Kluyveromyces lactis: one gene and its partner. The protein of the gene in region 2 interacts with the protein of the main gene of each other region in a pairwise test. Links are inferred from orthologs where the notes say so. Each region holds a gene or a part of one and is shown on either strand. Other genes may lie near its edges.

Region 1 (3,987 bases), on a different chromosome or scaffold from region 2:
CGATGGAACTGCCTCGTATCCATTTCGCGAATTGTACTTTTGCCAGAACATAACAAACATTAGGGATATTTCACCGATGAACATTTGCAATGTCTGCAACACCGGTTGTTCAAACAAAACAGGCGATATACTGTCACAATCCCTAACACATTGATTGTCCTGATATTTAGTAGCAATTGAATTGATACATCCAGTGACTATCAAGGAAAGCGCTGTCACTATCACTAACTCCTTTCTCATAAGAAATATGCAAAACGAACCCGTTCAAGTTCAAAGAAAATTCACCAGTTCTTGACCTTAGTACTGATCACCACCACTGATCACGACTTAGGAATGAAAGCTACGTTCATAAAATTACAGACGCTATGAAGATAACCCATACAAAGGCAGTTTTTGTCTTTATCCTTTCATGTTCATTCCGTTTCCTTAAGTATCATATTTTTTATGTAATGGTAAATAATCGAGAAGCTCTGAATTTCCTAATAAATAAGGGAATGGACCACATAATTTGTTACAGGCAGCCAACCACCTTTTCGTTATCTAGATTAGTCCCAGGTTTAGGACAACATTCTAAGAACTAATATGCTATTTATAATTTTACATGGTCAGCTCTCTGTTATCGATACATGTGCAAATCGACAGCTTTTTGATACAAAAGAATGATTTAGTGAACGATGATAACTCAGAAGTACACCTCTCTCATGATACCTTTTTTTCTTAAATTACTGTTACAACCTTCGGCAGGACATTTCTTAGGACCATAATTATCCGGATGCGAAGGTCCTTGAGAGTTCTTTAACTTGTTTTTTTCCTTTGCCGAAATATCTCTTGCGTTCTTAATTCTTACTTGACACCGGCCACAGAAAGTGTGTCCACATGAACTCACGTACGTTCTGCGAGATAAATCTCTATCAACTAGCGTAGGTCTTGCAAGAGTTTGATACGGACAGTGAAATTTATAGTGTGACTGAAGGGCTTCAAATGAAACGCCTTTATCTTCTTCACTAACACCTTTCCAATCATCCGGAATTCCAACTCCCAGTTCCACACCACATAGGACACAGACAGGAACATCGATGTATGTTTTCGCGGCCACGTCATCTGTTACCATCACCGTCTCCTCTCTGCCTTCATTCTCCATAGTCATCGACATCAATGGTGCAGTGTTGAATGACGCAGAATATCCTTCAGGCAAAGAGTTCGCTTTGTCGATGTATTTCTGTTGCTGAGATTTAGTGACTTCATTCAACTTCTTAGTTCTTGTACTGGCATCTCTTTCCTCTCTTTCTTGAATCATACGTATAATCAATTCTGTGTTTGCCGCATCATCTCCATCTTCATAGAATCCAAACTCGGGACCCACACCAAATGGTAGATTGCCAAACCTTCTATTCATTGTGTTTGATATAATACGTTGTAAAGACTGCGTTGTACCTGTGAAATTATTGCCGTCCATATTTTCATCATCATCTGGCATTCCAAATAACATCTGTTGATAAAGGGCGTTGTCTCTTGAATCTCCGTTTGATCCACGAGAATGATTTTGTTGAGTACCGCTTCTTGTTCTTTGTGGCCTTAGGCTATTTCTATTTTGGTAACTCATGCTTCTAGTACGCCTTCCCTCAGCCCAACTTTGCATGGCCCGGGCTCTAAAATCTCTGTACTGGCCAAGCAATTGTTCAAGCCTCGCTGGTGGGAAATTGAACCTAGCAAGTCCTTCCCTAAATTGAGACAATGACTGAGATTCAAAGAACAAACTCCTAAGATCTGGATCCAAGGAATCGATCGTCTCATCAGCAGCTCTCTGTAGCCTTTGCATTTGGTTCTGTCTTTCCCTTTGTTCTCTCATTCGCGTTTGCATTGTATACTGATTTCTTTCGTTAACGATATCCGGAGGAATGTAATCCGCATCGTTATCGCTGAAATCACTATCACCAGTGCCTGACTGGTTGTAGCCACCCATAAACATAGCAGTAGCATGATCAATATGTCGCCGTAGTCTTCGCAGTTGGTTTGGATTCCTGTATACCTGATTCTGGAACGACCTGCCCACCGGAAGTTCATTCCAGGAAGCATCGACCTGTAACGTTTGACCTGCCGGGAGTTGCAAAAGTACGGGTCTACCAGATTCCTGGATACGCTCTTCTACAAGCATTAAATCATCATCCCCTTCTCTATGATCCACAACCACAGTACCATTGTTGGAAGCCCTGTAGTTGTCCAGATTGATGTACTCTGCATCATCATTTATTGGCCCATCAGGTCGCAAGGAAACCTCTGCAGTTATCTCCAAATCTTCACCATCTGTTGACACTGGCAAATCTGTAGCAGGAGCGATAGGAGCCACATTTCTATCCTCTGCGTTGGAAACAAATCTTGACAAATGGTCTCTGGGTCTATTCCTTCTGCGATCTGGAATCAATCGCCTTGGTGCATATTCTTCCCTGATTTGAGCATCTAGCTCTGGATCACTATCGATCTCTATAACACACCCTTGCTCCGTCATCACAAGGCTTTCTACCTTACTAATTACTGTTCCAGCTGTACCAGATACCTATTTTAAGGATCTGGCTCTGAACTCTTCCGATACCTTTGTATACTTTTAGCTTATTTCAAAGGTTTACTCTTAATATCAAAACCACTGTTGTCTTAAATATCATAATTATTAATTTCAAGAACTTTTCTTTACTTTTGTCTCAATTTGATGTCGATTAAAGATAAAAGAAACAAAGAGTTTGTCAACAGATGCACAGATGGACCGTATTATGGTATCGTAACCCGTATGGGGTTATATCCTTTAATTCACTGCTACCAGACATGATTTTCTAGAACGTATGGTTGTTATTGATATATATAAGTTATATATAGTATGTGATAATAATAATAATATATCTACAAATTAAATGTACAAAATAAGGTTAAGAGTGTTCGAGTATTAATACCGTTATTGTGAAAATGGGTTCTTTTGTATTGTCAAGTTGATGAACAAGGTTTTGAAATCTTCTTCTATTCTTTTCCCGTCAGTTAGTCGATCTCCTTTGAACAGGCGAAGGACCTGGACTGTAAGTAAAAGAAACACACAGAGTGACAAAATACAAGTGAAGACGAAGTGGAGACTTTTCTAGTTTGTAGAACTTTATCACGAATCAATGAGATGCAAAATTTCAAATAATATTATAGTGTTAATGATTGTATTGGAATGAAGGTTTTTAAAACTAAAAAGTAAGCAAAAAAAGATTAGAAGCCAAAAAAAAAAGATTAATAGAAGGAATCATGAACCAAGTAGGCATACTCTAGCATTGGTTTCAAAATATCAATATTTCTTTAGCAGCTCTTATAATCCACTTCTCATGTATTTACCGATAACGATACAATGGTCTCTTTCATAAGGTTCCAAAGTCAATTGTTCCAAAGGCTTAATCTTTTCTTCTCTCAATTTTTGAACTTCTCTAGCGAACACAGTTTCAGCATCAACAGTAGAATCGATACAGTTAGCCTTGATAGAGATAACGACACCACCTTGATCCTTCAAGAACATATGAGAGTTCAAAGCAATAATACGGGCTTGATCAGGTTGAGCAACATCTGCGAAGACGGCGTCAACCATACCGATAAGCATTCTGTATTTTTGTGGATGTCTAGCATCTTCAATAATTGGGATAACATTTGGTCTCTTCTTAGCCATAGAGATCAATTCTCTACCTGGTCTGTGAGAGAACTCAACAGCGTAAACCAACCCTTCTGGACCAACGACATCGGAAACGTGGGACACAGATGTACCGGAAGCAGCACCTAGATATAGAACCTTCTTACCTGGAGCAATGAATAGTTCATCCAAACCACCCATGATACCGGCAGCCAATTTGGATCTGAAAGGATTCCAAACACGGTATTCCACCTTAGTTGGTGGGACACCTTCTTCAGTGGAAGGTTCTTCAACTGAAACTCTCTTTTCACCGTACACAGATTCACCTGGAGCGATGTTCT
Region 2 (4,461 bases):
TTATAAATATAACTTTCCTTAGCGATTATCTGATGTCTCGTTTGAAGACAGAGGAAACTAGAAACAACTACTATAAAAATTTACAAAACACAATATCTACCTTATTAATATATCTCAATTACTACAATGCATACTAATATATATATAAATATGAAAAACTCTTGCTTCAACTAAGCTCATCTTTAAATTTCATATTTCTTCCATGTTCCGGAAAAGAAATCAAACAATAATAAATAAAGCAAAAACAATAACATTGAGAGTTTTACATACAAAAAGGAACCCAAAAGACTCAGTCAGATACCAGGCAGCTCAAAAAAATTTCGAGACAAACGACGAAATCTAACGCTGCATTAAAGCTAAAATAAAGTAGAACTAAAACTCCCTCTAGATGGCTGAGAAAATTTCAGTGACGGCTGCTGGAATATTTAAGGAAAACCCTGTATAAAACAATATACCATATATACCTCTAGTTGCATAGTTCAGAACAACGCGCAACACTTGGCTGTCCAGATCATGGAGAGCACGGACTCTTTTCTCACGGTCTGTAGCCTTTCTGCCACCGTATACTGCCCAACAATTGTAATTCACGCTTTTCATCACTAGTCGCTTCTTGTCATCGTAAGGTGAAGCGATCCCAATTGATCGCACCTATAAAGTGCTGCAGGAAGATGGACTTTTGGATCAAAAAATCTACAAATCCGCTTTTTTTTTTTTCTTTCGAAAGAAAAGGGCAGTAAGAATCATCTCGAAGATAAATACGTGGCTAGTGGTATAAAGGATCTTGAGCAGCTTGGTCTGAACAAGAGAAAAAAACTGGACAGGATGGATAACTGGTTGTGTCCTTAGCCCCGGGTGGAGTGGAACACTAGAAACACGTGTCACTTGTCTTTGAGCGAAGAGTTTGGCCCATAACTGCTGTTGTAGACAACATTCTACCAAAGGAAATGTATCGCCCTTTTTTTTTCCTTTCGGTCTGCTTGATCGTTCCATTGACTGGCAAAATAAACGGATGGTAGATGCTAGCTGAGACTACACATCAACCAATTCCATTTCACCGTTGGTATGTAGTCTAGCCAAAGGCGAGAAACTGGCTCTCTCAAAGATGTTGAAACTGGTTGCTTCATCAATTCTCCTGTTTCACGGGTTTCTAAATCAAACTTTTTTTTTTTCATGCTGCAGCCTGGTTTGATGAAATTTAATGGCTCGGGAAAGGAGGGCATCGGTCAAATTTTTGATATTCGTATAATAACTGGATCACGCTTTTTCCTGTGGACCGGACTTATGTGTTGTTGTTGTTGTTACAAGCATGTAGTGTTACCCGGTGGATATGGCGGAAGAATTGATTCTTTCAAAGAAGCTGTATGTCTGTATAATTTCTTATGTTGTCCTCTCTGGTGGGGTGCATTAGCGGTTCGTATTTGGATCGGGACGAAGGGCAGCACAATCATGGAGTTTTTGAGGTGGTCTTCTTTTATGTTCACGTGACTGTTTTTTTTTTCCAAGATGCATGCTCTTCTCAGTTTCGCTCCCCTCAAAAAAAAAAAAAAAAAAAAAGAGAACAGTTGTCTTTCGCGTATTGTAGTTCTTTTTTTTAACATCCATAATAATAATAAAAACAACAACCATTAACAATAGGAAGTGATACTTATGGAGTTGGTTGGTTTCAGGTTGCTGGCGAAAAGCTAATATAGGCTCCTGTTTTCCTCAAGTTGAATGTCCAAACTTGATTCTCTTTTGAAAGAATTGCCTACACGAACAGCTCATCTATACCGCAGCATATGGCATAAATACACAGAATGGCTGAAAACGATGCCCGATCTCACCGGCGCAGACCTGAAACTTTTCTTGTCTCAAAAGTACATTGTCAAATATATTGCTTCGCATGATGATATCGCGAAGGATCCATTACCTACTTGTGACGCCATGATTTGGTTCTCTCGTGCTTTGGACATCGAAAATAACGATGTTCTTGTATTACAGCAACGGTTATACGGTCTAGTGAAATTGTTAGAGTTTGATTATTCTAATGTTATTGCTATCTTACAAAAGATTTCTATCAATTTATGGAATCCCAGTACGGATTCCTTACAATCAAAACACTTCAAGACTTGCCAGGATAAGCTAAAACTACTCTTGGATTTCCAATGGAAATTCAATACGAATGTGTCTTTCGAAGACAGAACTACTGTGTCGTTGAAAGATTTACAATGTATATTGGATGATGAAAATGGTAAATGTGGATTGGCGCATTCTAGTAAACCTAATTTTGTTCTTGTTCCCAATTTCCAATCACCATTTACTTGTCCAATCTTTACCATGGCAGTGTACTATTATCTACGATTCCACGGTGTGAAAAAGTACTATAAAGGGGATGGTTACCAGATCCTTTCACAATTAGAACATATACCAATAATTAGAGGGAAATCCTTGGATCAATATCCTCGTGAATTGACTCTTGGGAATTGGTACCCAACTATCTTCAAATATTGTCAGCTTCCGTACACTAAAAAACATTGGTTCCAAGTTAACCAAGAGTGGCCTCAATTCCCCGATTTCAGTGACAGTTCAGAGAATACAAGTACTCTGGCTGAATCAGATTCAGAAAACACCATTGGTATTCCTGACTTTTACATTGAAAAGATGAATCGTACTAAACTTCAACCTTGCCCGCAGGTTCACGTGCACTTGTTCCCCACAGACTTACCGCCCGATATTCAGGCAGTGTTCGATCTTTTGAACTCAGTGCTAGTCACTAGCTTACCACTTCTCTATAGAGTGTTTCCCACACATGATATTTTCTTGGACCCATCCTTAAAGACACCGCAGAATATCGCTTTTCTTACCGGCACTCTGCCGCTTGACATAGAGTCTCAAGAGCACCTTTTGGCTCAACTCATCGATAAAACTGGTACTGTCTCCGAATTAGTGCCTAATCCTGTCAAGATAGATCAAAATGAACATACTCTGACACCTATTGGTACCTCACTGTCACAGACTGATATTCCTATGCTTGACCAACTAAAAACCGAATTACAAAAGTTGATTCAATTACAGACTTCGACCGGCTTTTCTCAATTGATTACTGTCCTTCTTGAGATATTCCAAAGGTTGGATTTCAAGAAATCTAACAAGCAATTTGTAATTGATTTATTACAATCATGCAGAAAGGACATGAGAAACAAACTCATGGACCCATGTTCTCTTTCGACTAATTTTGCTGATGAACTCAGCGATGATGAAAATGAGAAAGGAAATAAGACAGGAGCCATTTATGATCCTGAAACTGATAATGGTAATGAAGAGTCTGTGAGCGATTATGAACCATCTTTTAAGAAATCGAAGCCAAATTATACAGAAGAACCTTTATCTGATGATGAAAACATGGAGGAAGTTGCTCAATTGGTAAATCAGCTCATAACTAGGAAATTTAATGAAAATTTGGAACAGCAAACTGATCGGATTATCAGTTCTATACAACCAACGCTTCGTGACATGGTCCGTACTGAGGTTGCAGATGCACTAAACCTTTCCCTAAGAGAAGCTTCGCGTGACAGTGTCAACAAGAAAAACAGTGACGAAAACTTTCAGAATTATTCCTTAACAGAAGATCATTTTGAGATGAATCCCGACTGCTCTGACATCAAATCAATTATTCTAGAATGGTTTACCCCAAATCGTGAATGCGTGCATTCGATGAACAAGAAATATGGAAACAAATGGCGACTGACAGAACCAAATCTGTCCTTGTACAGGATACGGAAGCCAATTGTTCAGTATTACATACATCTAATCAATGTAGAAAACCTCAATAAGTTTGACGCATTGAATAAGCTCGAAGCCGTGCTCGAAAAGCATCACTCCGTTCCGCTTCTCTCTTCCTTCTTGGAGAAAGCCAAGAAAAACGGCTATGCATCTGTCACGTGAACATTTTTTGTTAAGCATGCTTACTTTGCATGAGGTACATAAATGAAAACCGTATAATAGAAAATTGTAACCATATTTAGCAACGAAGCAGTAAAGTTGCTTCTGAACAAAGTCATAACTAGCTAAGAACCTTTCAGTATTTACTTGAAAAGAAAACTATAACGAGCCTGATGAGATTATGAGATTCTATATATTGTTTTTGTACCTATTTGGTACTCTAGTAGCGGCCATCCATCTTGATGACCCGCTTACTAACTTCAACTTTACTCCTCCTATAAAATCTCCTAACGACCTTCTGGACCACGAGCGGACGTTAACTGACGGTGAAATTCCAAGGTATGTTCTAGATCATTCACCGTTGATCCATCTTTACAGCGAAGAAAAATATCTTCCAGGAGACATCCAATCCTTTGTACCGCACTTTCAATTGGTAACATCGAATTATGAGACGGTTGTAAATGAACCTCTGAAAATATCAGATCTCAAGGGTGAATATAACGTTGCAGGGGAAGTTTTATCCAGCGAAACCCTGTATTT

The links.
Region 1: the proteins of CBF2 (region 2) and SLX5 interact in a two-hybrid assay, tested with the Saccharomyces cerevisiae proteins (3 studies listed by BioGRID). The link is inferred for Kluyveromyces lactis from reciprocal best matches to the Saccharomyces cerevisiae genes CBF2 and SLX5.

The regions. Positions count from the first base shown.
Region 1 is NC_006039.1:401,776-405,762, reverse strand, and holds SLX5 (SUMO-targeted ubiquitin ligase complex subunit SLX5), read right to left. Parts: upstream 2,507-3,987; coding exon 683-2,506; downstream 1-682. Other genes in the region: KLLA0_C04433g (uncharacterized protein), read right to left, coding at 1-240; rRNA methyltransferase NOP1, read right to left, coding at 3,335-3,987. UniProt on the Saccharomyces cerevisiae protein: Component of the SUMO-targeted ubiquitin ligase (STUbL) complex SLX5/SLX8 that mediates ubiquitination and subsequent desumoylation of sumoylated proteins and proteins containing SUMO-like domains for their degradation.
Region 2 is NC_006041.1:345,279-349,739, reverse strand, and holds CBF2 (Cbf2p), read left to right. Parts: upstream 1-1,713; coding exon 1,714-3,924; downstream 3,925-4,461. Other genes in the region: KLLA0_E03785g (uncharacterized protein), read left to right, coding at 4,103-4,461.